Styela clava: one gene and its partners. The protein of the gene in region 2 purifies or fractionates together with the protein of the main gene of each other region. This does not show direct contact. Links are inferred from orthologs where the notes say so. Each region holds a gene or a part of one and is shown on either strand. Other genes may lie near its edges. The genes, in order: stomatin-like protein stl-1, prohibitin 1-like, calnexin-like and ER membrane protein complex subunit 2-like.

Region 1 (7,865 bases), on a different chromosome or scaffold from region 2:
GTACCGAGTATGCAGATTCATACCCTGAGAACTATTCTCCATATCGGGCATGTACATACAAACACGTTTGTATCTAGAGAGAAGCAACTTTTCTTTAAATCCATTGAAGAATGACAATGCCTCCAAAATCGTTTCCACAGAACTTCGTTGAATTTTGATCAATCAAAGTCAATGGATCATTTGTCGTCTGTAGTTGAATTTTGCACTACTTTGTCATCATTATGAATTTCACCATCTTGTAGAAGTCCCTTGGTGTTCAGTTTTATATTAGGAACAGACTGCATATTTTTGTAAATAGCCATTGCCTGCAAATATATTTAATGTGAGATTCGAAAAGAGAAGCAATATTGAATCAGTCACTCCACATAACATTGAATTACCACCATGACAAAATGTGGTATTTTAGTAGTAGTTTTTAGTATCCCATATTTTTTAATTACACAATATTGAATTTTTGTTACCTGGGTGACCATACTTGATACGTCGCCTGTATTCGATGGCAGTAATATTGTGTTCCCTTCCTTTGCAAGGTTGCCGAATGCATTTACATATTGCTCTGCTATAGTGAGTCCAGCAGCACTTGATCCATGCTAGGCATTAACACAAAATATTCACTATACGAACTTATATATAAAGTAGCAGTATTGGGAAGCAATCAACTGGGGAAGTAAAATGGGTTCCAGTATTGTTCAAGACATTCTGAGGAATATGGATCAATCAAATATGGCCCAGATATTATAAAAGTCATCAATCATAAAAGAGCTAATGTTTATGGGGCAGTATACTCGCTAGCAATAAATCACTATTTATAACCTGAAAAGCAATATTAAGGTTAAAAGGCCTTCTTAAAAAATGTACTCACTTCATTTGCTAAAGATTCGGCAACCATCAAAATAGAGCTAGCTCTGGCTTCAGCTTTCGCAATAATGGCTTTGGCTTCACCTGGAACAAACATATGCAAATTAAAGCAGATAAGGAAATTCGATTCATTCAACATTTTATGAAATATTTTTTTTCCTGCAAAAAAGTATGAACTTTTTTCGGCATTCGCTTATATATTCACATTTCGATTTGTTACTATTTCAGTTCCAATATAATAAAGATAATTTGAATTGGTTTTAGAAAAGTTGTGCACATATTATTCACAATTATAGACTTATTTAACCTTCAGCTTTATTGATCTGCTCGATTTTAAAAGCTTCTGATGATAGGATTTGTGCTTGTCGCTTCCCCTGTGCAACATTAATATCAGCCTCTTTTTTCCCTTCAGATTCAAGTACTGCAGCTCTTTTCTTTCTTTCTGCTTCGACCTGCGTCTGCATTGCTTCCTGCACTCTTTTTGGGACCTGTGGGTGTTGTGGAAAGTAGAACTTAAATAAAACTTTCGATGAACTTGCAACTTTATCTCACACATGCCAAATGATTTGCTTCCATTTTCTGCATTTTTTAATTAATAGTGTAGAAAATTGACTCCACTTACTTGTATATCTCTAATTTCATATCGTAAACATTGAATTCCCCATGCATCCTTTGAAGCATTGTTAATCGCCATGACAATATTGGTATTTAATATTTCTCTTTCTCGAAATATTCCATCTAATGATAATTTACCTGGAATATTTTAACAAAGAAGTAAAGTAACTCAGATTTCCTTATCTCTATCATGTGATACTGATTCACAGTACTTCAATATCAAGTATTTTTCTTTTTCTTAACATGGCCATATGGTGTTACAAAACTTTTAACCAAAAATATCCACAAATCTCTATACCATTATCTGAATATTTATAAACCATCATTTTAAAACATCATTAATTTATTTTTGCTCCATTTTACTTATTTAGACAACCTACAATCACACACTGGGCCGATTTCAATTTTTTTAGCCAGAAGCTTTGAAAATATCGCACCTATTTCTGATCGCATTGTTGTTTGTGCAAGTTGTGTTACTGCATATTCTGGGTCTTCCACACCATAGCTAGATTTATACGGATCAACAACCTTCACATAAAGCACTCCATCAATGTGCAGCCCAACATTATCTGTAATAGAAACAAAGTATGATGAAATATATTTAAATTAAAACTGATGCAGAGCAGATTATAAAACACTTCCCAAAAGATATATACACAAAATCAAGTTAAAACATATATTGAAATATGAAAAACTATATACCTTTAGTGACAGCACTTTGTTCCGGAATTTTGATTGCTTGTTCTTTTAAAATTTGAACATATTTAACTCTGTCTAATACAGGAATTAATATGTTCAAACCCTGTATAAAAATATGAATTCAATGCAACATTTAAAATCAACTCAGATTTGAAAACCCTATATTCTAAGAAATAAAAATTCCTATAATCACTGCAATTAATTCACATTTTAAATAACCTAAATGGATGTTTTTTCAATAAAATAATGATAATTGCCAAGTTCCCACGTCTTGAATCCTTACAAAATATTTATTGATTAGTCCTTCTCAAACAATTTTGGACAAGACAATATTCAGATATTTGGCTTGATTCAGCCATCCATAATTTTCATGAATATTATGTATCTTAGTATAAACTAGTAAAAGGTAAATACTAGTGCTACCATCAGACCATAGAAACTCAATGGTGATTGCTTCCTTTTTATTGTCTACTGTTATACAAAATGGGATATATTCTGTGAAGTAGTGAATTTCTTTGCCATCATTATGGAACTCACCGGCTGTAAGATTTTCAGAAATTTTCCCATTCTTTCTATTATCCAAGCTTCTTGTTGTGGAACAAAGAGGAAAACTGTATTGACAGGTAATCGAGAATAACAAGCATGTTGTTGATAAAAAGGTAGTTGAAGTTTTAAGTTTCCGACTTTGTGGAATTTTTCAGTATTAATCAAGTAATCCTGTGGTGGACTAAGTAATCTCCTTCTACAGGAATTTAATACTCTTCTATATAAAACATTCATGATAGTCTATGCAAATACTAGGTGCTGAAATGGAGCATGATTTACTTAAAAATACGGTAAAAGTTGGGGTACTTTAGTACTAACATAACTGACCAACCGCAGCCTTACAGCAAGGACAGAAAGACTAAATCGTACAGTGTACACACATACCGTTACGTACCGTAAAACCGGCTAACTTCGGATGCCTTGTAACTTCGGATGAAATTTTCAATCATTCATATCTCAACTAAATTTCGTCGTATTGCGCTTCTGTCGGTTTCTATAGTAAGGCCTTACATATCTGAATCTGCCGTAGCCTCCAATCGCTCGATTTGATTTTTTATCATTCAAAAAATCATATTTTACCAAAAAAATGACACCGTTTTTTCGAGCGGCTCAAATCGTGACTTCTACAGACGCTACCTTCGTCAAATCACCGCCAAGCGCTAGAGAGCGTACACAATGTATACAAAAAAATACAGTGATCACAAGGTGTCGTACGAGATTCGAGTGAAATCGATTATTTTGATTTAAAAATTACATCAAAATATCGACGTTTTGATGATTACGTACAGCGTGACGTCAACGACGCAAATCCCGTTCTCTCTCTTCGTAGCCGACGTCACTTTGCGTAGCTCGTGCGTTACTCGCTGCGACATTTGAACGCCAGACATCGCGGCGCCCAGTTTTGTGAAATTTAAAAATTATGCTTATCCATGATCCTAGTCACTAAAAACATCACTATCGTCTCAGTCATATGTTGTTTATTTAAAAATATGGGTATGCATACGCTTAATGCATATGAAATTTGTCGATTTTTGTTTTTGCATACTTCCTCCGACACCGATAGATACCGTAGCAATTGGTAATACGTTAGGCCTGAAACCTGTATCTATACGATCATAATGATTAGATATGTCTGTTTACGATCGGCAGATGATAATAATATCTTTAACAGGTGAGCGTAGAACTCTACATACATGCACACAGCAGGAGGTTGGACCACATACAGGTGAGGCGCAAAATGAAAAAAAGTGGCAAAGTTTTATTTTGCCGTTTTTATCCGTTTATTGTCATTTGACTTTATTAAGTGAAACGAAAGCGAGGATCGAAAGTCACACCGGGCAGGAACCTCTGCCGAGCCGATCAACGGGGAGCTCTGAGAAAATCAGAAAATATGAAAAGTGATAATCAAGACGAAACCTTCTCTGCTTGTGGATTATGGAATGATCCAAATGGAAGTACGGAAATTGAGGATGAATGGGTCGGTTGCGAAAGCTGCAGCGAAACACATTGGTTCCACAAGAACTGTTGCAAAGACCCGTCTAACCCATGTGGAAATGATTACAATTCTTGATTTTGCCAGCGTTTCCTTCAATTCATCTGTTTATTTTTAACTGTCGAATTTTTGTTCATACCTTACTTGTTCCATATTGCTTTTTGATTTCAATTTTTACTTTTGCCAGTGTTTCATTCGATTCATCCGTTTATTTTTAATTGTCTAATTTTTGTTCATTCTTTACTTGTTCAATATTGCATTTCAATTTCAACCTACACCAGTGTTAGGTACTTTCAATTCTTCCGTTTTTTTTTTTGTTAATCCTTTTCTTGCATTGAAAATAAACGATCATAAAAGAACGAACTAGCATTTTGCAATAAATTAGGAGTAGTTAGTGAAATATATACGAGTTATAATAATGGACACAAGAATAAATAGTTAAGCTTCGCGAAGCGGCAAGAGTAACGTCACGTAGTAACGTCACGTACAAACGTCAGTATTCAACACGCAAGACAGGTCGTGGCGGCGTAAGGTCTATTCAGCGACGTTGTCACGCGTCATTGCTTACGCAGACATTTCTCTCTCACGACGAGTTGACGCAAAGAGAAAAGTGGCCATCCGAAGTTAGATAATTTTAGAATAGACGAATAAAGACAATAATTTCAATGAAAAAAGGCTTTGATGGATATGGAACCGACTTTATCAAGACGAGAATAGCCACAATGTATTATATTCCAAATTTGGCTTCAGTTGAACAACATGCGGCGGAGATATTGTTCAAAATATAGTGAAATCATCCGAAGTTAGCCGGTTTTACGGTACCGTAACATGTGCCTACGATCTTTCTCGCCTCGCTAAGTGATCGTTGTCGTTTGACGTTTTCCCTTCCTCAATTCTGTGTTTACCGCCGTAACATCAAATAGTAACTTAACTATTCAGCAAGATGTCGATGGTGTCACGATGGCGTAGCAGTCCGCGGGACACCTTACCACTAGAGTTGGATTATCCGGATAACTGGGTAACCGTCTAACCGAGCGTTATTTTGTTGTCCGATATCCGGATATTATTGTGACGGTTAAACGGATAATATAGCAGTTAATGCATATGCGCATTAGTGATTTTTGTAAAGTGGCGAGTGGCAACTGACATCTCCCAGAGCATATATTAACAGCTTTTTTCACCTCCCTAGATACATTGCTACTTTTAAATAACATGGTTACATAATTTTGATTGCGACCTTGCTGTATGTTGTTTATTTTGCAGTAGTTACTGGTTGGTAACTGAAAAATATGACTTTTGTGGAGAAACCGGCTGACAAAAAATTTGAATCCCACCACTGGATGTAACCTCTTATCAATTTAAAACTTGCATAATGCCGATGTTGATTTCCCAAATAATCACGCAACGCGGAAGAGAACAATCGACGATGCTAACAAAATTAGCCTGTAAAATTCGACCGTCTTTCTTAGTGACTTTTTCGAAATTAACGAAAAGAAGGGCTGGTATTACATTTGTGGTGTAAATGAAACTTTCCCAAAATAATTCGTTTGCAAGATGGTCTATAATATTTCAGCAAAGTTCAATTTGACAGACTTTGTATCGTGTGATGTTTTTCATTTGCCCACCCATGGTAAAGTTGTTCAAAACTGGTGCAGCATTGTTTTGGCTCTGTTAATTTAGTTTAAATGGTATTTGAATGGAAATAAATTTTAAGTTGTGTCCTAATTAGTACAATCGTGAGAATATTTACATTGACATGTTAAATAGGTGAATTTTTCAAATTAGAAGAAATTTCTGACTAGTTCGTTGTTTTCAAAATCATCGTTTTTCCTTGTCATTGAGAATTCACGGACTTTGTCCCCATCGTATTATATTTTCTGGGTACTTCTCACCGAAAAAATGTTCGAAATGCATGATTTCATGGGAGGGGGGGGGGTGATAGGACCATAAAGTAATCAGAGTCAGTTCTTTCCTAATGGGGTTCAAAGTTTAAATCCGGATTCTATTTTGTACCAAACTGACTAACTACAGGCCCTCGGAAAATGTATGTATGTTGATACGTGAGCTAAAGCAGTGCTTCACAAGCAGTCGGGCGCGAATCTATACGAGGTGGGTCGCGAAGTATTTATGTAAGGGTAAGTTTATTTCGATTTTCCAATACAACAAAGCAATACATGGAAAAACAAACAATTGTAAGGAAAATCAGGAAAGTTGGCAAAATCTAAAAAAGATTTAAGACGTGCCGGTGCACGTGCCCACTTACCCTAAACAGCAAACAACCATCTCAATCAAACAACACATTGAAGTAAATTAAAGAAAAAGAGACACGAAAGATAAATCGGGCGTGTAAATACTTGGGTGTGTATGTGGAGTTTTAACATGGATTGTAATTTCTGCTATATTTGTACAAGATAATAACGTGAATTGTAGAATACAACAAACAATCAAGCGGTTCGCAATATGTAATAAAATTAATTTGATTACAAACCACTCAACTAATAGTCTATTGGACAAAATACAACAATAATAAGAGCACCATAAAAGAAAAACAACAACAAACGGAGTAAAATGTGACAAGAGCATTCCACGCACTGGCGTTCCAACTTCAGTAATCAAAATTCACGTGCTTTGTGTAAGTAGTCCTTTTCTATAGAATCCATCATCAAATATCCGTTACATTTGACGTTTGACTGTTCATGTTATCGCCAGCTTCGATCAGTTTTCCACGATAAACTCTATGCAGGCCAGCATCATCTGATGTGAACTGATCTATATAGTAAAGTATGAGTTTATTTATAAGTATAAGTTTATTTCGACTCCCTAATCAGCATAATAGACGATGAAGTAATTGATAAAAACAAAACAAAATTTCAAGAAAGGTTTGAAACGTACAGATTTTGAATGAAAAGGTGGGGACCTTTCCTCGACCTCCGAAAAATTCTTCCTATAAAGGACTCGCACGGGTCACGTGACTTTGTTACTGGACGGCAATAAAACAAAAACGTCCATTTGGCTCCTGTCAGTTGCAAGTCGGATTATACGTTTCCGTTTTGTTTGGCTGTTGAAAATGGTTATTTCGTATTGTTCCGTTGGCCCTACGTATAGTATAGACAACGAAATGGATCTTCAGTTATATTCCACTGATTTCAAAAGATCCGGAGCGTCGCGCAATGTGGATATCATCTATTGCATTGGCAGAACTGCTTGGTGTCAAGTCCAGAAGCCATCTTACATGTGTTTCACTGTTTGCGGACAGCACTTCGTTGATGGTGAGTGATAATGTGGTGATAGTGTGCCGTTATCAATTTCTTTAAATATTCACAAGCTCCCTCATTTCAATGGAAAGCAGATGACAAACTACTGTTATTAGTAGGCCTACTTGCAGTTGCAGACTTGACTTGTGTAAGACAGTAAGGAATTAATAATCAATTGCTATAAGGTATGGTTTCCCTAATTAGCAGGTAATCTATTACTAAGTGTGAAAGGTTGAATAGATAACTAAAGTTTAACACCAGTGGTCATGCAAAAAATAACCAGAATTCAATTGAATTCGCCATCTAGGAATACGCTCGCCACCGCATCTCTGATTACCCTGGGAGTTTCACAGGTTTCAATCCCAGAGAGGATTGCAGCTCTACTCCCACCGAGGGTGGTT
Region 2 (7,728 bases):
TGATATACAGCAGACAACAGCAAAAATGGCAGCCATTAATACTTTCCTTACTAGTCTTATCAACCTATTATTAGGTTCGCCACCTTGTCTGGCCTTATTCCGCTTTAACATCGGATATGTTAGAAGTGCAAGCAACGTAAATTGCATGATAACTGTATTAGCAGCCAAAAGGTACCAAGGTATAGCATCAGAAGACACAGAACAACCATTTGGAGGCAGAGGTTTGTAATGTGAATCCCCTTCCACCATAAAGTAAACCAAGTTTGCAAGATAACCCAAAACCAACACTAACAGTATCCACTTGCTTAAAAAACGAGTCGCTTTGTTGCTCAAATGATTCAGCTGGGGGCTGCTGTAAAATATCCTTTGTCGCACCCAGAAACTCATATACACAGTTAAGTAAACTAAAAATCCCACAAATATCTTTGGTTTTTTCAAATGCAAACATGCCATTTCGGAGCTCCGGCCCCATATTGTGTCCAGGTTAAGCAGTACACGGACTGCCGTAATAACTGCAGATAAAATAGTTAATGTGTTCAAAGCCATGGAATATAGGGCACCACTCTTTTTTGAAAAGAAATAGGAATTCCGGGTCGCCGTACCACGCTTGCGTATATGGTAGACAATAAAACAAAACACCACGTAGCAGTTAAGAAACAGCAATGTATATGAAAAAATTTCACTCAAAACCCACTGAAGGTGTAGTTCATGAGAAAATACTGCATGCGGAGCAGATGACGTTATATTACTAACGTAGTTAATGTCATTACCAGAAGTATTTCCCATTTGTTCTCCGTAGTTCGATCCACTTTTGATATTGAATTCGCCAACATCCAAAAACCTGTTACTTGTAAATTTCGGTACATATGTTACAGCATCATGCGATGTAGTATCCTCTTCAAAATATGATGGGGCTACAGAGAAAATAGTCAATTATACATAAACCAGTATTAGCACTTCATAGGATTGGAACTATTTTGAAATATAGCCTGAATTAGTTAAATCAGTCGTAATATATCAGGAATGAAATGAACAAGTGGGCTTAAAATCGATTATTGTCTACCTGGTCCTCTCGTCCAGGCAACAGAGGTTCAAATTTTCAAGATTTGGTTGAACAAAGGTTTGTTAACTTGGCAGAGATAATCAATCAGGAGACTTAATGAATTTAAACGTCAGAAACCCTAGTCTTTTGGTAAAGTCAGTATAAAATAATGCTTTTATATTTTGGTATGGTCAATACTTCTCGAAATGAGAATCGCCCAGCCACCACATCTCCTGCATGCTAATTTTTGATGTGAACTAAGAACGAGTAAGACGCTGTTCTGAATTTACGAGGTATTTATACTACAATAGTAATTAAATAGGTCTTCAAAAAATTTTATTTTTGAATGGTTGTTTTTAAAGTGCAAAGTAGTCGTAATAATTTAACTTTTTTAAGTTCAAATTCAATTTTACAAAAGAAGTAGAGGAAGAAGCATATTGTCTTGCAATATTTTTCAGACACATTTTTTATGATACCATAAAGATACAAATCTCTAATTTTATTTATTTGAAACTGCAGTCAACAATTTATCTCTGTCACGTATTATGACGTTACATATATTAATATTGTAAAGATCATTCCCATACTTGTAGTAATGTCTGCATAGTCAAAGTCGTGTTTGTGGTCACTTCCGAACCCGTTGTAGTCATAATAGTTATTTTCCATTATCCCCTAAAAAGGAAGCATACAAATGCAATTCAATATAATTTGCACCGAACTTAACATTTCGAAATAAATATGGCCTCAAAAATCGGAATGATAAACGGAAGGGAGCAAACAGAATTTTCTTTATATTAAATAAATGCTCTAATTTAAACTTTTTTTTATATAAAACTTTGATCTAGTCCTGCGCTAAATGATGCATATATATTTAAATCAGCATCAATCCCACCCTGTGGTAGAATAAAATTATTTTCGATTATTATCATTCAAACACAATAAGCTCACCGAAGTCTATGATAATCGAATAATAATAGTCATTTGACGTCGACTTGCACAAAAACCCTAAATTCTAGAAAATTAAGCTCTGGAAATTGGAAAGTGAATTAAATAATATATCATAATACCTAGTACGTTTTTTTTTTTCAGGTACTGACTGAACCTCGTCACAATTTTTTTGAAAAGACCATATATATTTTTATGCGTGGGCTATTACGCCTAATGTCCATATTGCACATGTAAAATAGCCTACACTGTTATACTTTAAAAGCATGCTATAAACTATCCATTCACCAAAAGATTTGTATATAGTGGTTGTACATTATCGCATTAAGATATACTATCACAACCTATAAACACTTTGAGATATGCCTGACAGAATAATTTCTACTACCTCATAACCATTATTCCAGTAATTTCGTCCTGCAATCAAATCTGTCTCTAACCGCACGTTATGGATAGTGCATAACCAGCACCAGCATTTGATGCAAACTGAAAAAATTATGTCAATGAGTTTCAATATAATACTGATTCATCTGTTTATATTGAGACAATTAGATCAACAATAAGTGATGTGACAAGTGTTTCGGTTTTGCAGTTTAGTTATTTTTTATTGCATTACAAAGCCAAGCATGTATCAAATTATTAATGCCTTTATGAGTCAAAACATTTCTTGTCAATTAAATACAACATACATATACAGTATATGAATTTGAATGAAGCAGCTATTTACGAAAATTTTGAAATAAGCAATATGTAAAATTGTAATATGTAAAATTGGAAAGTACCCGAACAATGATGAATATATATAGCATAATATATAAATATGACGAAGAACCAAGCGAAACCATGTAAGGCAGCAGAGGAAATCGAACAACCATAAAAGGCGCGAATGATGCTAACACTAATTGTTAAGCATTTTTCGGCATTTCGAAAACGTCGAACGATATGAAAAAATTAATGAAAGAGTACATTATTGAGCGAGCATTTAGAGAGATTCCGAAGCGATTCGAATCAACACGAATCGAAGCAATTTCAGGGAAGACGACTTGATTCTATTAAAAAGAATATCTATCGATTCAGACAACACGAGGCGATTGCATAACGCAGCGACGTTGTCACAAGATCGATTAAAGGCGTATTTTCGTTTATTTTCCGTGTGCTGGTTACAGATCTTCCCGATTCGTAACAATCCTTGGGTTGTTATATTTGATATGGGTCTAAACTAAAGCAATAGTTTAGCCCAATTTTGTTTGACTACTTAAAATGCTATGAAATTTTACAAGTTATACAATGTGATGTGCTCTTCGTAATCATTACTCCTTTCGAAATCATGGCGCAAACGGTATCGGAACACTAGCGTTTCTTATTCAGATGATTTTTGAAGGTTAAATTTAGAAGAAAACGAACACTATACGTCCGGAATATTTTGCATACAAAAGTTTATGTAATAAAAACAAATATGTAACTAAGTATGTAACTAAGTAAGCTCTATGTAACGAAAACAAATTTTTCCAGCCCTAATATATATATTTCATTCATTCATTAAATTTTTTTCTACTAACATTATTCAATTTCTAGTTCAATAATATTATTCAAGCAGAATTAATACTGTAGCTATTCTAAATTTAAAGAGAGTTAACGGTAAACTGATGGTATATTAAATATTCGAATCGGAACATTCTGATTCGATTCGAAAATAAGATATTCGAAACTTGTATCCCCAATCGCAACCACAAAAGCTGAGGCAATATATTCATTCATTCATATTCATTGGCGTTTTCATTTTATTTTCGAAACTAGAGTCAAGTTATTCCGATCAGCATGATTGATTTACCAGGTTTCATACGCACTCTGCTGTTCATTGTAGTTCGAAAAGTTTTTTTTTCGCCAACTTGATTTTTGGACGCGAAGTGTACATATGAATCGTTTTGTTATTAATTATGTTGTTGTGGTTGCTCTTGTTGATTTCCTTGTTAGGATTTTTATTGTTATGAAAAAATCGCTTTTCTTGTTACTTACTGAACTAATTGCTTACAAATTTTCAGCACCTAAAGACTGTAGTTTGCACTAGAAGGTAATTACTTTTATTAAATTCAAAAAATTCTGTGAGCTCTATGAGATTTGTTTTTGTGTGCTATGACGTCACCACAATTAAAAATTGCGCACCTCGTAGCGCTAGTATACTGTGACAGATTGCACACCCGCACTTTGTTGTTTTAGCCTTTTTATTTCCATATATTTGAGCAACACTCTCTTGTATTTAATTGTGTCATTTTTATTTTTTTCGAGAATATACGTTATTGTTTTTGTTGTAAACGTCATCGTAAATGTAAAATACCATATTGTTTTTAAGGCACTGCTTAAACCTAGGAATGTCATATCATTATTGAGTTTAGCTAAAACACTAATAAAAGAATAACAGTTGTGCGTAGGAATAGCTGAATGACGTTGATACCCTTGAAACATTCGCCCGACGGGCGCATACAAGGAACAAATTGAATTCGTTCAAAATATTCAGGTGGCTTGAGTAGAACAACATGTAGGGCGCGTGAATTTATTAATTACTGGTGATATAATATGCCAAAAACAAATTTCTATTCAATTATTTACATAAAAAATGGCACACGGAAGAAATAAAAAAACATTGAGATAGAAACCGGATTTGAAGCTCATGTATGACTCTGCAACCACCGCAATTTTTCCGATCTGCACCAATGCGATTCACACGTGATCTGGTGCAATCGCATTGTCGAATACCTCAACTTTTTCAAGTTATTGCTGATTTCTGACTCGACTAGACATTTAGAAGATGGAGGTTTTGTTTTCAAGGCTTGCGAAATTTGGTGTTGGTCTCGCTGTAGCTGGAAGCGTTGTGAACTCGGCTCTTTATAATGGTGGGTATGTTGATTGTTACATGCAGGCCTATGACTGTATCTGTATGACAGCGTGAAAAGGTACTGGTACATTATGAAGAATTTTTGAAACGTTGATTGAAAGTTTTTATCTCACAGTTGTAAAACTGAATTAGACTTTTGAGTCATGATGAAAAAAGCTGACTAGTTAGACTACTGGAACAGGAAATTTCTCTTGTCATATCCCTGTATCCTGTTTTTTCTATAATTTAATAACATATGTGAATTCATCTATATTTTCAGTTGATGCTGGATGCAGAGCAGTTATATTTGATAGATTTTCGGGTGTGAAAGAGACTGTGACAGGAGAGGGAACACACTTTCTTATTCCAGTCATTCAAAAACCTATTATTTTTGATATAAAAGCCAGACCAAGAAATATACCGGTGGTGACAGGTTCAAAAGGTATCATATAAAATTAATTCATTTTATCTTTGACTGAGAGAAACTTGAATTTCAATCAAAAATCTTTCATTTCATAATTTGGTTAGATTACATCATCAAAATCTGGGTCTGCAAATCTTATGCATTCTACAACATGACAATTCTCATTTCCAGGTTCTTTTATATAGCATCCATGTTCTGTTCTAGATCAAATTTACCAGATAATAATTATAATCAATACTTTTATCATTTTCATTTATTTTTCAGATTTACAAAATGTCAATATCACATTGCGTATTTTATTTCGTCCAAAGCCATCAATGTTGCCGAATATATTCACAACCGTCGGTGAAGATTATGACGAAAGAATTTTACCTTCAATCACAAATGAAGTTTTAAAGGCAGTAGTTGCTAGATTTGATGCCAGCGAGCTTATTACGCAGAGAGAAATCGTTTCACGACAGGTATGGTGTATTTGATTACCATTTGCAATTTTCTATAGTCGCCTTTGAAGAGTAGGAAGTTCAGTTACCCTGGTTTGGTCTAATAATATATTTGTACTTTCAGCCATTGACTTCCAAATCGTCGTATAAATCGCCATGTTACTTTGTGATTGTTAAAATTATACCACTACACAGTCTTTTTAAATTTGGAACTGATATTTTTACATTGTAGGACTGTATATGCCTCTCATTGTTAACTTTGACTATGCAAATAATACTCTATTGAAAATGTTTATAATGAAATAGTTTGAAAAAGGAAAGTGAACTGATTCAAATACCAATGCATATGGCCTTTGTAAACGCTTTTATTAAATGATAGTTTTAAATAAGCCAAAAAATTCAATTCAAGTTACAGATATTAACAAGTAAAGTTCATCCACTTAAAAGATATTATATCCTGTAGCTTGTTTTGCGGTGGTATAGTTATGTTTGCTTCTATTATAGTAATAACTAACTACACATAAATTATCAGGTCAGTGAAGATCTCGCTGAGAGGGCTGATGCATTCGGTATGATTCTTGATGATGTATCACTGACACATTTAACCTTCGGAAGAGAATTTACACACGCTGTCGAAGCAAAACAAGTCGCCCAGCAAGAAGCAGAACGAGCTAGATTTGTTGTGGAAAAGGTTTGAATTATATTTGGTAGATTAGCGCTTTGTCTCTTTTCGGGTATTTTAGATATTTTTATGTTTTTCTGTATTTAGGCTGAGCAACAGAAAATGGCTGCTGTTACAACGGCAGAAGGAGATGCCAAAGCTGCTCAACTTATCGCCAAAGCAATTGGTATGTTCATTATTTTATTTGCACTAGCTACTTCTGTTAGTGCAAACCCGTTATATGCATTGATGATTGTCGAATCACATAGCTCGGCAGTATGAATAGCTTACATTACAATCACTTAGTGCAGAGCGGGCAGTACACAGGATCACTTCGACTGGCAGCCAATTATCTAGATTCTTTTCATTTGAGTCGGTCATCAGTAGAGCTCGACCAATATCGATATATCGGCCAACTAGCGGCCGATAATCGATATTAATATAAATCATGTTGTGACCCACAAAATGGGCTTTTATGATGTACCTCGTGAGTCTGTAGTTTATTTTAATATTTATTTATTATACGGCTGATATTTTGCATAACCATGTTTCCAGAGTTATAAAGGGAGATCCCATGGTTAGGTGAACTGGTCGAAATATAATTAGTGTTTTGAAAACTGTTGAATGCTGAGAGTTAAAAATTGCACAGACTCTCAATATCTCATTCAGTTGATTAAAATGGATTCATTTATTTTTGTATAACTCTCACTAAAATGATGGCAACCAAGAAATTCAAAATTGCATTCAGGGAGGTCACAAATTTGGAACCAGTTTGATGACATTATTATATGATAACCGTATTGTTATTGTACAACAGCCATTGAAATGCATAAGTGCAATTATTTTTCATGGTAATAGATGAATAAAACAAGTCCCATTGAAAGAAGGTATTGCTATTAAAAGGACCCCAATCAATTTAGTCTTAATTACCTGTACCATGTTTCTGTGATTACTAACTCAACATCTCCAAATCGATTCTATTTATAGAACTAGCGCTTCTTTCAATAAAAAAATTGCCTTTTTCTCTTTGTGTACTCTCTCAAAACGTGATTTTAAATGTTACTCCGGATAATAACTTTTCAATCATCATCATGCATGAAAAGGCTAATCATATGTCACTGGGTATTAGGAGAGACACCTTTTTAATACAAAATGAAAGCAGAGAAAGATTGGGAAAACAGTTAGGAAGAGGCGAGAGTCGTTGAAGCACACAGCCCGACTAATGCGGATGTATATATCGGCAGTTTACCTTTATTCTTTTGTAGCCCACTTCTGTCGCCCATCAACGGTGGTCTAGTATGACTTTATGTAATGGTTTGTCTAGTCATCAGTACGACCTCAAAG
Region 3 (7,689 bases), on a different chromosome or scaffold from region 2:
TGGCTACAAAATTTGACTTAGACAGACATTAAGATACAGACATTTGGATGGGATGGACAGAAATTCGAAAATATTCATTTTGCTACCAAAATCTTTTGTGTATGCACATTTTTCCTTAAATTATCAACACCTGAAATTCCACATCACTATTCTAAAGAATCAAAAATTATGACTCCTGTGATTTTGAAACCATCAATTTGACTAAGAGTTCTATTCAAACAAATTTGCTTTTCTTGGAGTTCAAGACTAGAGTCCAACTCTAAAATCTATGCCATTGTTGAATGGCTTGGAATAAAGTGTGATTTTTACACGACTCCACATTTTGCCAAAATGTTCGATTTCTCTGTACAGACATCTAGAATTCAAATCCATATTCAATTTAAAACAGAACTACGTCAACAAGAAAATTTACCTTATAATCTTCCCCGCATTTGTCTGGCCCAAACATAATTGTGTACGGTGTTTTATCGTTGAAAGTTTTCTGAAAATGTAAAATAGTTGGTTTGTTGAAAATGCTTTTACGATATTGATAGAAAAGAGAATTGACGTTTTATTGATAAAAACTTACTAAGGTAACATCTTCAGTTTTTGAAAGGAGTTTTACATAGCCACCACCACATTCGATTCCATTTTGGAAATTGACTTCATACTGCATGACAAATGGTTCTCCATCAAATTCATATGGCTTTGACAGGTCGACAGAAATTGCATGATGTCTAAAATAAAGACATATTATATTTATAATTTATAAAGATCTGTTGCATCACAAAAATTAAAAGGTACTCACGTAGTATGTGTACCAAGTTAGGGATAGGCCATAATTTGATACTGATTTTTCCTATTTTAGTTCTATTACGAGTCGGGGACTGTCTGTGTTAGTCGAGTGAATATAACCCCAGCCCATAGGTTTCAGTCCCTTTACACAACTTGATGTAAAGTAGGTTACTTACATCAGTAGTAGTTACTTCCATATTGGTTTATATACTTTTGGAGCACCTATTAATATATATTTTATTGTTTTATACAACAGCATAATAAATTGAGTAAACAATAAGGAACAAGAAAGATCTCAGACTTTCAAAAAAATGTCATTGAATATCAGTGGATGCCTACATGGCCTTGTACAGAGGGAAAAGCCCGAATAAGTGTTGTATACAATACTGAACAATGATGCATTCCAACAGTAATTACAGCAAACACAAACGTATATACAAACAATGCTGATGTATACAGTTTAGATCCAAACCGGTTACAGATAGACTGACAAATGAGTCATTTCAGGATATTGCATTAGAATAACCATATCATAAGTCAGATGTCAACTGCGAACTGTTTAAAAACGGATGGGTTTCAAATTGAATTGAGACAGGAACAGTAACTCCTCTTCAAAATTTAAAAATATACAGGAATGCAAAAATGACATTGCAAATGAAATGCCACTAAAAATAATGGCGCTCCAGAAGTATGCTTACCAATATAGAAGTAACTAGTTATGTTCGCCTACTTTACATCAAGTTATGTAAAGGGACGGAAGCCTACGGGCAGGGGGTATATTCAATTGGATAACACAAACAGTCCCCGAACCTGGTACACTTATTACAAGAGTACCAAAATACTAACCTCGCTTTATCTTTCAAAACTAATCCCAAATCGCCATCTAACAGTGGTGTAATGGGTTGAACAACTTCCCAACGACCATTATATTTTGATATTTCTTCATCAACACCATCTTTTTTTGCTTCAGAAATTTTCCAACTAAAACACAATAAAAATTAAAATAATATTATATGCATTACAAAAAAATTCAAATTTTGTTGGAAGCTCAAGCAAAGCACGAAAATGAAAAGCCATAAAAACAAACTAAAAGTAATTATTTGTTATATCATAATGGCAATAAATAACCAGTATTTAGAATAAGATTTTTTATACTAAAACTGGAGGCAAGAAAAGGTGCCTCTCATCTGGTTACAAGTCTAGGTGTGGGAATCCCTTGGTAACAGTTGAACATCGGGTCAAAGGTTCAATACACAACTATACGAAGGTTGTTAATGGCAGAACACCATTCATTGAATTCCAGTATTGTATGTCCCTTGCTTCCCTTTGCCAAATGACGTTCAGTGTCGTGAATTCGCAATGATACATGCATGGCCAATAAGTACAGAAGTATTTCATGAGTTGAATATTATGTTACCAATTTTATATGCCCTAATTCAAACTTCCACTACTGGTAATTGCCAACCCCTGCTTCGTAGTCAGCAGCAACAACAAGGCGTTCTTTGCACTCGGCTCATATAAGAGTGAAGTTGTAACCAGACTGTGATTATATAACAGTAAGATGGGACCTCCACAACCCATTGCAATTAATTTAGCATTACAATTACGATGTTTCTTATGCTAAGTACGGATGAAAATCAAGATAAAAATTAATTAACAACCATTCAATAAATATTCAAATTGAAATTACTGCATTTATCATACCCATTAATAGAATCTGCTTTATCGAAAGGTTCTGCAAAGTTGACGTGGCCTTTGGGAACCGGTTTCTCATATTTTGTTATCTGGAACAAAAATAGTTCGTATTAACGAATAATATACAGAACAAAATAAAGAATTCTTTTAATATGATGGTGCTGTAAAATGCTGTTACGATTATTATCCATCAGTCCATAGATTCAAAGCATTTATAGATTATAAAAAATAACAATTTGGATTACAATAAAACAATAAAAAGGGCAAATTGCAGTCTAGTTACTATAGGAAGAATTTCTGGAGGTCAAAGGTTGAGGAAATACCCCTTAAAATTCTACAATATGAAGAATCTTACTGTGGATTCTGGTTCTTCAACTGCTTCTTCAACAACTACTTCTGCCTCATCATCATCCTCGGCCATGTTCAAGCCGAATCCAGAGAACAAAATTAAAAGAAATACTAATCCAAATTTAATGACAACCATTTTTAATCCTGGGTTATTGACTCATGTGGAATTACTAAATATTATTAAATATTACTTCAAAATAAAAAAGAAAATCAGTAAATAAATTAATAATATCTGATAGTTGAAGCCCTAAAGTTTTACTATAGCTCACATAATTCAATTACAGAATTACAGTTTTAATTTTGAATTCGGGAATTGGGGTTAACAAAATTATCCGAATGATTTCAATATTTAAAAAACTCTCAAATCGCGAATTACAGAATTATATATATCATTTCTTGTACATTTCAGAGCAGCAAATTCTGCTTATACTACAGAATTACAATAGCCAAGCAGAAAAGAGCGAGATTTGGAAATAAATATCAATTCTAATTGGCAGATCCAGTGCAAAATTGAGAAATCATACCCCTACCAGTACGGTGCATAAATGCTGAAATGAACACTGTGGTACCCACTTTCATCTGCTCATGTAATGATATCAAACGACTATGCATACCAACGCTCTCAGACTCTATTACTGGAATGAAAAGAATTTGGTAATCAGCTAGCAGGCCAGGGTTTCCACTTGCTTCTAAAGTTCTAGATGCCATTGCTCCAAGTCCATGCTTCCGAAAACAAATAACTAACTAATCCCATACCTGCATACCCAACGTGGAATGCCGGAATGGTAACCGGACAAGAGTTCGCCAGCCTTCTTATCGGCTTTCCTATCCCCGGGATAAATAGTTAAATCCTATCCTAAACCTGTCAACCGATTGATCAACTACCGTAATCTAATTCTGTAATTCAAAACGGTAAATTCAAAATTAATGAACTTAAAATTTACATCCCAACATCTCTTCTTTAGAACCTCTATCTCAGTATCTACCCTAATATCGATTAACAGAAATGGGCCAAATAATGCCATCGCGTTGTACATAGCCTAAACCGTGAATTCATTCCAAAGCAGTAGCTCAACAAAAATCGAAAGTTTTCTTATTTCAGTAGTGCAGTACCGGTAGTAGAATTTAGCTGTTGGTCGTTGGGTTTCTCCAACTTATTCCATGATTTCACCAGGGACCAGCTATTACGTTAAATAAAATACAGGCCTAAAACTTGTTTACTGCTCATGACATGGTCGTGAATAACTAATAAAATGTATATTCTATCATTTTATACTTATGTAATACAGTAATATCTGGCAATATGAATTGAAAATCCCTATCACGCGAAACACGCTTCCTCACTATTCATGCGAGACCAAGCACGTGATAGTGTTTGTTTAATTTATTCCTCGATGCGTGGTGATCTGTGAGTGGTCGATGTCCGATTTAAATTTACACGGCGTGACATGGATAGTATGCGTAATTCTTGCGCCATTTGTTAGCTCAAGACATTAAAATGTTGACATAAATCACATTGACGACTACCTGCTGTTAAATCCCTTCCACGCAGATAAGAATTACTAAATAAAACTACGCGAAACAGAGCGTACGGTGTCTGGCGACAAGTTTACGATAGATAGGGATTTAACTCAGCCGTGGCACAAAATACGGTAATACTTACAATGCAACAATCACATACGGCGGAAATTCGCCATGATTTCGAATCAGGTGAGAATAATGGTATGTGCAATCTCACCCTGTGACGTAGAATATAAATTATGAAACTCAATGCGATAATGCCTAACCTGATTTTGATACAACAGAACTCCGGTCATTTGGAACAAAAGCTACAGAAAATATAACTCTCGTGCAAAGCGCCCTATTTTACTGAGATTTCTGGGTACAAACCATACTTTTCTACATGAATAGTAGTGTTAACATCGTATTACACAAATGTATGTAAAAATCAGACGTCGAGAACTTGTTTTCCCATTATAAATATGATAATTCATAGAATAAGATTTCTATTTTTACCTGTTGGGGATGATGGATAGGGACCGTCTATCGCAATCTGTAATCGGTCTTCATAACCCCAAAGATAGCTCAAAATTAATATCAAAAGTTTGCAAAATTGATGAATTTATTGGCACATTCGAAAGTAAAAAAGTTAATACTGCTTACAAATAAGACTTCAGTTGTGCAAACTGCAATACGTAAATGAAAATTTCATACTTGTTCTACAATTATAACATGATAAAGAATATTTGGAATGGATCCTAATAGGCAATATGCTGATATTGAAACAATATAAACAGAGCAGTGATTAAGGTGAAATCAGTATATGGCAACAATAAACTAACAGATAGTGTTATACCAAACCCCAAAAAATTTTAAAAAAGTTTCAACTTAAGAATAACTTCAACTTTCAATGATTTTTGCAGTGACATCAACGAAATTTAACTCTAAATTCCAATTACGACTAAACAACACTGATCATTTAAAAAATGCCTACACTTGTTATAATTGTGTATTTGATTATATAGTAATACCCACTAGCACCTTTACAGAAAATGTATTAAATTTCATAGTTTTGATTGATAGTTGGCAGTGGAATTTTTATCTTCAAAAAAATAAAAAATTTCCTATTGAAGAAATATTGAGAAGTCACAGTTCATCATCAACTTTCTCTCCTATGATGCCTTCAAACTGTGGAGTCGGAAATTCCAGCTCTTTTTCTTGTAGAAAACCATCTTCATCTTTATCCATCACCTTGAATAGATTTTCAATCGTTTTTTCCTTCTCAGCACCAGGAAGAAGTTTGCCGTTACCAGCGTCAACTTCTTTAACAATGTATGACATCAACTGCAGGAAGTATATCGAAAGATAAGTTTTACTGGAGAAAGGGAAGTTGTGTAGAACCAAAACTGGCTATGGCGCACTGATACCCAGAGTTCGAAATCCAATATCTAATCGAAAAAGATTGGGAATTTTAGTTACCCAACAATTGTCGGCGAGTATTGTATGCTTTTTTGGTAAACCAAGATTTTTAATACATTTTCATTTCATCACTCCCAAATATGTCAAGCATCCACTAATATGTAAAATTTACTGTTTTTGGTGAAACGAACATTTTTCCAGTTCGGCATTACCAGGCTTATTACACCCCCAGGTGAGATGGTGGGCATGGCATTTCAACCCAAGATTTCAAACCTGCGATGTCAGCATAGTTAAGTCTATTGCATTGTGTCTAGATTACGTAAGTACTGAACTTCAAAAATCAAAAATGATATTTATTGTTACATAAAATGTTTTCATTGTGTACCTCATCAATAGAAACTTTTCCATTGGCATCATCATCAATCAACGAGAAAAGATTCTCAGGTTCAGATTTGCCTTCCTTCCACATGAATAACATTCCGTTAGGTAGAGAGTCTTCAATTTTATGCAGTTCCACAGTATATACCAGAACAGCACTACCAGGTATACCATCTGAATGAAACAAATTTGATAAAAGATTGAAAAACAAAATTATTTAATGAATAAAAACAGATTTGGGGGGACTCGAGTTCGACTTGAGTAGGACCAGAGTCACAATTTATTGAACACTCAATGGAATGACTTGGAATCAATATCGAATAACCACCAGTGAGACACAACAGAGGAATTGACTCAAATTTGGACTCGACTTGAGATTCAGATTACCCTCGACTCAATGTGCAGGGGTCTTTATTCGACGCTCCAAAAGTTTGTGTTACTAATTTTGTTCGCATACTTTACATCACGCTGTGTAAAGATGTGAAAGCCTATGGGCAGGGGGTATTTTCATTTGGCTAACACAGATATTCCCCGAACTCGTAATAGAACTAAAATAAGAAAAATCGGAATAAAATTATGGCCTACCCTAACAAACTACGGGAGTACCCTATATCCAATATTCACAAACTTAAAACAGGGAGATTTATGTTTGAAATCAAAACCTCCGCTGTATAACTCTACCTGCACCAGGTTCTCCAAAACCGAGATGAGGTGGTACAACTCCTTTTCTGATCTCCCCTACACACATTCCTGTTAGCATATTTTGAAGACCAAGTATGACTCGACCTCTTCCGTTGTACGTTGCCCAAGTCCCTTCTCTGTTCTTACTGTAAATAAGAAACTATATTAGATAATTACCTAACATGACAAATGACCCAACAGGCCAATCCCAAACTTCCAACTTTTTCCAATGCGGATAAGAGCGTTTGTCCATTGTTTTATAGACATAGAAATAGCATAAAAGATACCAGTGCTATGTTGAGATTGTCCAGAACATATAATGAAAGTTTTAAGCGAAGCTCAGTAATGAAATATTCTTTGCCACAAAAGAATCACTTAGCGATATCAAACACGCCTTGATTTTATATTCTTTTAGGTATACGAATTTCCTATTGTCGACTTGTCCGTAAAACTGAGTTCCTTTATTAGTAAAGTATGAATTGACATGAATATTCAGTTTTAAATGCCAAGGTTTGACATAACAATCTAAGATATTTGATGACCATAAGCAGAAAGCGCTATCATATAAAAGTCACTTAAGCCTGCCTGCTACATCTGTGACGATATGGATTTTTGATGAAATGTACTGGAATCTGTGGTGTAGCAGTCATTGACAGGCCCATTGAAACATATGTCTGCGTGAAGTCACACATAGATAAACTATTTTATGAGTTGTTTAAACGTAGAAGTTTGGGTATCTGTGATGGACTATATAGTTATTTTCGCAAATTAGTCAGCTGGGTACATGAAAGATTGTATACTGTACAACTGTTTCAGGGGACCTTCGTCGAACCCCAGAAACAGCTTCAATGAGGGGTTCGATCAAACCCAGGTTAAGAAAGAGTGAGTGTGGCA
Region 4 (7,252 bases), on a different chromosome or scaffold from region 2:
TGTTTCTTTATTAATTTTTATCTAAAGGTGATGTAGACACAATGACGGAGCAATTCGTTCTTCACAACTCCTGTCATTTCCATATTACCCAAGATGTTGGAACTTTTTTGATTGCTCAAGTGATAAATAAAATAACTTAACATGGAACTAATCTGTTCTAGCGAAAAAACACTGAGAATGCATGAGCAATGCACTCCGTGTATTATTGGATACCTTTTCCACATTCAGTGAAAGAAATTCAAAACAAAGTTACAACATAAGCTCATGAAAGAATCTTACGTTTTGAGGTATTCCGTTAAACTCTTTATTGCATCTGATGTTTTACCTTGCGCTTTCAATATTGCGGTTCTCCGTTTCCTGATGGCCTATAGAGGTTTGAAAATAAAAATAATTGACAAGGAATATAATAACATGCCACATTATCTTCCTAATTTAAATCTGTAGATGGCCTGGCCAATCTAAAGCATATACACAAAGTTGAAATGGGAATTATTGTAATGTATACTAACTGGAAATTTACCAGGAAACATGATAATATATTCATAAAACTTATTTCAGTTGCTAACAACAAATCCACATCAGGAATTGAAGTCATTGACAACTTTGATAAAAAAGGTTTTATATTTTAAATAAGTCGAGCCTGTTAAACAATGGTTTTCAACCATTCTGATGGAACCAGAACTCAAACATTATAGAGGGTTGAGAAAATCCTGTGCAATTATACCTGTGTATTAGAACATATTTGAACAATATACATATATAAATATTAACTCTGGGATATGAATGAAAACTTATGGAACACCTGGACGATATTATTAGAATTCCAGGACGCCATATAGCATCGATTGAAAACCACTGCTGTCGACTAATACAGATAGTAAAAATTTTAATCGTTATCGCAGTAAAGTGACTACATGAATTAATGTGTACCAAGCGATGAGATGATGTGATTTCTCAGGACTTATTTCAATCTAAAAAAAAAATCAATAGCAAATATTGAATAAGCTCAAACTTACAGCGTTTGTTGGATCATTTTTTTCTATTTCTTCATATATAGTTAATGCTTCTTCATAACTGTAGAAATATATTTCATGTGTAGATTTTATATTGGGATCGACATTACTTAAAAACATCACATTTTTCAAATGAACTAGTCATTCCTATAAGCAGTGATGTATGGGCTATTAGGAATGCGACAAGATTCAGACTCGTGCCTGGATTTGTGGCCCAATCTCTTGTATTTTGATACTTGGATTCGGCCTCAGCCTTTGATGATTTTACCAGAGTCCGGGACATCATACGTCACGCGATGCCAAACACAGTTCACTGATGGTTTCTCAAAATGAAAACAGTGCTTTGAAATAAATATATTCCAAAATTTCATTTGAATCAAATTGACCACATAAATCAGCACCAGATATTGAACCCTAATTACAAAAGTAAACAAGAAAAACTTACTCTCCATAAGCTTCAAATTGTATTCCAAGTAATTTTTTTACTCTGTCACTATCTGGAAATCTCGTTTCTAATTTTTTAAGACAGATATCTGATAAATCGTATCGACATGTGTCTAATGCTGCTATGAAGACCTAGAATATAGAAAAAGGTTACTTGCACTAAGGAATAAACGACCCAATCTTCTAGCAGTTTATCATAAGCTTTTTTGATTGGTTGCAACTTGGCTACGCCGATACCTTTAAAACAAATAAAAAAAATGTTGGTACTAAATACGAACTAACAAAAAAAGGGTGTGGTGTAGTTTTGTACCTCTTAAAGTACTCCTGGTGGGCGTAGCATATTTTTGCATATGTCAATTCTAACCCCCCCCTGAGTGCGTCATCCAAAAATTACATCAATTCACAGTGACGTAAGAGGGCCCTTCAAACTATGCGAAGTGTCATCCAAGACGCGCAGACGATCACCCGAAATCGAGCTATTTCTCTCCGTTTTCTCGTTGCAACAATCCCGATACAAGAGAGATCGTTGTCGTTAGTGAGTTCTTTATCGTCGATGCAGATGCCATTTCGGGCGATCGTAGGTATACTTTGGCAAGCGCTATGACGTGTTTATGACATCGTATTTTTGGATGATGTATTCAGGTGGGGGGGATAGGATTTACATGTGTAAAAATCGTTATGCTACCTACGTCCACTAGAAGTACTTGAGGTATGAAACTACACGAGACCCCTAAAAGATTATAAAGTTAATAAAAAAACAATTTATTACAGTATTACCTGTTCACAAATCAACCACATTTCATCTCCGAATCTATGAGAATATTTTCGGATTAATCTTTCGCCAATCTCAACAATAGTTATGCTATCTCTTACATGTTCATCTCTCATTTCACGAAGTCTTTTACAAGCAGCTGTTGTTTAAAAAAAAAGTTGAGAAAAGATGATTGGAGGAGAGATGAAAACCAATCAGCATTCAGAAATACATTAGAAAATAAAACTTATTCCAAACTCTTCCATGGCACAAAGATATAGCCTATTCATGAAAGTTTCCAAAACTCGAAATGTTGTTTCATATAAAAATACAAACCTACCGGTACAGACCTAAGCCACTCATGGCTGCATGACATAAAATAAAAGTGAAAAAACACTGAATGAGATACCGTAAGAGGCTGTTACTACAGTAATCGGTTTTGAGTATAATATGGTACCGGTACCGGTAGTCTGGTAGTTTAGAAATTCCATATACCGGTAACAGTATCCCCTGATGCTCACCTTCAGGATTGAAATCCTCCATATTGTGATATTATGATCGTATTTCACTAGCTAGACAAGATGAATTATCTGGAATATTCTACTGTTCTAAGAACTATTGTAAAGTTACAAACTCCAAGCAAAAGGAGGCAATACACCGTATTCAGTTATTATCCAGCTAAACAATCGCGCAGAGAACCAAAACTTAGCAAGAAAACCAGGCTGGTGACGAGCCGCGACGGTGATTCAGCATATGCCACTGGCTTGCTTATTAGTATCCGGACAAATCCGGCCCGCAGAGACTAATCATCAGGCTCGCTGAACTCCTATTCAAAAAAAGGAATCTCAATTGAGAAATCTGCTCGTTTAAATTAACTTTGTTCACATTTATTTTCTATCAAGTAAGCTTTTCTATTGTTATCATGTTCAATTTATTGCGCAAGAATCGGTAACGCCATTGTTTCTGTACCCGAACCCGCTGTCATAGATCCTTGCGGTGAACAAAGACAAGGATAGCGGGTTAGGAAAGGATAGGATTTCTGAGAGAGGTGGGTTATCACGCAAAAATTTTTGTAGAAAATTTGATTCTATATGATTTTTTAAGATTTTTGGCGTTTACCGTTTGCGTAAAATGGACTTCGTTTGCAAGACTCGAATTTTTTAAAAGTCGGCCTTGCCGAAATCGAACGCAAATTAGTATGCCCGTTGAGAGAGAGAGAGAGAGAGAGAGAGATTTTATTATTTCGTCAACCAAAAAACGTAAAAAATAGTCATCAGTAAAATAGCACTAGCAAAAAAAAATTTTTTTTTGGTATGGACAGGAGGAAGCGATACGACCATACGGTCATCGAAGTCAGCTCCCACCATATATGCTGATTTTATTAAGATAACACTGAAAGATGACCAGTGACAAAACTACTTAAACTATTACATTAATATTTTTACAATAAAATTCTGAATAAAATTAGGAGACTCGTGGGTAAATGCATTGTTATGAGTATTTTTAAAAGAAAGAAAATAGAAGAAAACAAAAAAGGAAGGGGGGTGTCCTATGTTAATCTAAAGCGACCAGAATAATGCTATGGAAATTTAATATTTAGCTGAAAACTAAATTACTAAATTCATAAATTCAATTGGGCTTGAGACGATAATAAATAGAAATAATAAATAATTGGATATATATAAACAGTGGATCAGGGACAAAATTTTAATGTGACGAGAATGTGGAAAATATTTTAGTGCAACTTAGTGATACATACACAGTATTAGGAAAGTAAATAACAAAAACATGAAAATATTAATTGAACTCCCGCAGTATGTGTACCATGTTTGGGCCAGACCCAAATCCTATCCAGACCTTCTTTATCTTAGTTCCAACAAGGGCTTGGGAGCAAATGAGTTTCTTTCCAAACAGGACTCAGTCACCTCATATAACCCGATGTAAAGCAGGCGAACAGAACCAGTTACCCGCCCACTGGTACACATACTACTACATACATTAATTAATCAACAACACATAGCAATATCATATACACCAAAATATATGAAAGAAGCACCATTCCATTGATCAACAATAGCAATGATAGTAATTAAATAAACACTGGTATGGTGAAAGGACCTTGACACAAACCTGCAACAATGTAGAGCAGTAAGTTGTGTGTATTGAGAAGAAATATTACAAGTGATTTGAGCTATGGGAGTGGAACTTATCCATTACACAACACAACTAAAAATACGAATATAGTCAGGAATGACTGAAATGCAGGGTAAAAGTAATTGGAATTGCACAATCAATTTGGCTAAGAGATTTAACATTATTCAATTATGACAAGTGCAACTGCACAACATATACCGTAATGAAAATTGAGCAATTAGAGGAAACTTTGTTCCAAAAAATCTCGAAATATAATAATAGATACCACACATAACTGATAACATTTGAATTGAACAACAATGATAGTAACTATTATAGTGACAAACAATTGTGATGCAGAGATGAAAATTGACATTTTGGTAATTCCATTCTTGCAAGTAATGAAAATAAAGAGCATCATTGGGAAAGTTAACTATGAAAAGTACATATGCTAAAAGCAGTCAAATTTTATCAGGTAACAATATAAGGGTTTACGCCTACGGTAACTACTATAACCTCATATTATGTCAAAAAGTACAAATGCTGAATAGTTTATAGTTTGGCTTATGATGAAAACTGTTGGTGTTACATGCAAGCTAACTCATGTACTATATATAGCTATCACATCAGGAGGAAAATTAAATTTCTATATAGAAAAGAGCTGACTTAATAGATTATATTTGCAAAGATAAAGATGCAAATCGTGAGTGAAATAGTTATTAAGATGCAAAAAAAAAAAAAATACACAAAATATATCCCTACACATATTAATATTTATTTATGAGATACTTCATATACTTATATTTGAAACAGCTATAAGACGAATCTATGATTTCATTGGGAATAGAGTTCCAAATACTTGGACCAGTAATTTTAATGGAGTCGCGGGCCAGACTGGAACTTGTCCGACTAACAAAATATGCTCCTCTACCCGCTAAACGAGTGTTGTATTGGTGGACATTACTACAATTTGTGAAGTAGCTATCGAAAATTTCAGGCAGAATTCCATGTTTAAATTGAAACATGATTTTCGCTATTTCGAATTTATATACATCAGCTACTGTAAGAATATTCATCTTTTTATAACTGGGACTTATTCTCTCACGAAAACGAGTACCACTCATTAACCTTACTGCACGATTTTGAAGTATTCTAATCCTATCCATATAAGTCTTAGGGGCAGAACCCCATGCCACAATTCCATATTGAAGATGTGAGTAAAATAGAGCAAAATATACGGTTCTTAATACCTTTTCAGATACAAACGGTCTCAGTTTAGACATAGCACCTATGGCTCTGGACAGTCTACCTGCAAGTTGATTAATATGCCTATGCCAGTTTAGCTTATTGTCTAGAATAACTCCAAGATATTTGACAGAGTCACAGATACTAAGTAATGAGTCGTTTAGTATAAATTTTGGAGTGAGGTTCGAATTTTTAAGGCTTTTGCTACAATTAATCAATAAGACTTGGGATTTACTAGGATTGACAGTTAGCTTGTTTTTAATTAGCCATTCTGATATACAATAGAGATCCCTATTAACTATATTTTCTAGGTCGGACAGATTTTTTGCAGCGAAAGTAGCACTAGTATCATCAGCGAAAAGTTTAATTGGAGCCCTAATGGCATTGACAATATCATTTACATGAATTAAAAAAAGGGTAGGCCCCAGAACTGAGCCCTGGGGGACCCCTACCGACACCTTTTCACTCATCGATTGACAACCAACCAAACTTACAAATTGACGTCTATTTTGCAAATAACTTTTGAACAATTTATTGGCTACTCCCCGAATTCCATAGTAATTAAGTTTTGTAATTAAGATATCATGATCCACTGTATCGAATGCTTTTTTCAAATCCAGAAATACACTACAACCTAATGAGCCTTCATCTATAACGTTATAGTAATGGCTGATAATATCTAATATAGCATGTGAAGTGCAATGTCCATCCCTAAAGCCAAATTGGTCCCTATTTAGAATTGAGTTTTTGTCCAAAAAAGATTTCAGTCTCTTTAGTAATACTTTCTCATAAAGAATTGAAAGACAAGACAGTACCGAGATGGGGCGATAATTTGACACGGTTTCCTTATTTCCAGATTTGTAAACCGGTACAACTCTGGCAACCTTCAAATGCCTGGGGAAAATACCCAGGGTCATGGAGATGTTGAAAAGATTACACAGGGTTGGACTAATGATGGTCTTTAAAATTTTAATCAAATAGACCGGAACGCGGTCGTGACCTTCTGCTTTACCAGTCGCAAGCGTGGAAATAAGCATTTCAATTTCGTTGGTGGTGGTGGGCTCTAGATACATTGACGATTTAATGGGTTGCTTTAAATATTTCATAAAATCGTAATTGCTGTTTGAAAAAGCTGAGGCAAGCGTCGGCCCAATCTGGGAAAAATAATTATTAAAAACATTACAAATGTCAACTGGATCTTCAGTTGATTTATTAAGAGTCTCATCACGCAGAGTGTTCGGATGATTTTTTTTTAATTTTTTATTAATGATTGAGTTGATGGTATTCCATGTCATTTTCGAATCTTTTCTATACTTATCGAAACATTTTGCAAAGTACTCCTCCTTTGCTCTATTTTTAATATGAGAGAGAGTGTTGGAATATTTCTTATATTGGCGTTTTTCAATATCAGTGCCATTTAAAAATAAAGTTTTATGTAATTTATCTCGTTTTTTTGCAGACCGTAATATTCCAGGTGTAATCCATGGTTTTTGCTTCAATCGACGTTCCTTTCTACTAACTTTTTTCAAGGGGGCATATTTATCAATTAAATTTCTTAGTCGGTTGACAGATTCATTAAAAACTATGTCATAATCATCAGCTCCTACCTCAGTACTCAACATGTCATTTCTAAAAATAAATTGGGCATCAGTTAAAAATTGGTCAA

The links.
Region 1: the proteins of prohibitin 1-like (region 2) and stomatin-like protein stl-1 purify together in Homo sapiens (affinity purification with western blotting; 3 studies listed by BioGRID, with this or other methods). This does not show direct contact. The link is inferred for Styela clava from reciprocal best matches to the Homo sapiens genes PHB1 and STOML2.
Region 3: the proteins of prohibitin 1-like (region 2) and calnexin-like purify together in Homo sapiens (affinity purification with mass spectrometry; 3 studies listed by BioGRID and IntAct, with this or other methods). This does not show direct contact. The link is inferred for Styela clava from reciprocal best matches to the Homo sapiens genes PHB1 and CANX.
Region 4: the proteins of prohibitin 1-like (region 2) and ER membrane protein complex subunit 2-like purify together in Homo sapiens (affinity purification with mass spectrometry; 3 studies listed by BioGRID and IntAct, with this or other methods). This does not show direct contact. The link is inferred for Styela clava from reciprocal best matches to the Homo sapiens genes PHB1 and EMC2.

The regions. Positions count from the first base shown.
Region 1 is NC_135257.1:11,813,808-11,821,672, reverse strand, and holds the start of stomatin-like protein stl-1, read right to left. Parts: upstream 3,005-7,865; 5' UTR 2,953-3,004; coding exon 2,710-2,952; intron 2,276-2,709; coding exon 2,176-2,275; intron 2,043-2,175; coding exon 1,911-2,042; intron 1,612-1,910; coding exon 1,481-1,611; intron 1,347-1,480; coding exon 1,166-1,346; intron 943-1,165; coding exon 863-942; intron 591-862; coding exon 462-590; intron 306-461; coding exon 177-305; 3' UTR 1-176. Other genes in the region: uncharacterized protein LOC144425789, read left to right, coding at 3,847-3,943, 4,023-4,288. UniProt on the Homo sapiens protein: Mitochondrial protein that probably regulates the biogenesis and the activity of mitochondria.
Region 2 is NC_135261.1:10,477,077-10,484,804, reverse strand, and holds the start of prohibitin 1-like, read left to right. Parts: upstream 1-4,710; 5' UTR 4,711-4,793; coding exon 4,794-4,878; intron 4,879-5,139; coding exon 5,140-5,301; intron 5,302-5,547; coding exon 5,548-5,744; intron 5,745-6,255; coding exon 6,256-6,414; intron 6,415-6,492; coding exon 6,493-6,571; intron 6,572-7,728. Other genes in the region: uncharacterized protein LOC120330096, read right to left, coding at 1-914, 1,630-1,708.
Region 3 is NC_135250.1:5,735,854-5,743,542, reverse strand, and holds the start of calnexin-like, read right to left. Parts: upstream 3,021-7,689; 5' UTR 2,954-3,020; coding exon 2,825-2,953; intron 2,559-2,824; coding exon 2,479-2,558; intron 1,756-2,478; coding exon 1,621-1,755; intron 717-1,620; coding exon 569-716; intron 482-568; coding exon 413-481; intron 1-412. Other genes in the region: peptidyl-prolyl cis-trans isomerase FKBP9-like, read right to left, coding at 5,464-5,661, 6,122-6,288, 6,796-6,941. UniProt on the Homo sapiens protein: Calcium-binding protein that interacts with newly synthesized monoglucosylated glycoproteins in the endoplasmic reticulum. It may act in assisting protein assembly and/or in the retention within the ER of unassembled protein subunits.
Region 4 is NC_135255.1:16,047,307-16,054,558, reverse strand, and holds the start of ER membrane protein complex subunit 2-like, read right to left. Parts: upstream 3,003-7,252; 5' UTR 2,752-3,002; coding exon 2,730-2,751; intron 2,369-2,729; coding exon 2,235-2,368; intron 1,590-2,234; coding exon 1,459-1,589; intron 1,075-1,458; coding exon 1,017-1,074; intron 366-1,016; coding exon 280-365; intron 1-279. UniProt on the Homo sapiens protein: Part of the endoplasmic reticulum membrane protein complex (EMC) that enables the energy-independent insertion into endoplasmic reticulum membranes of newly synthesized membrane proteins.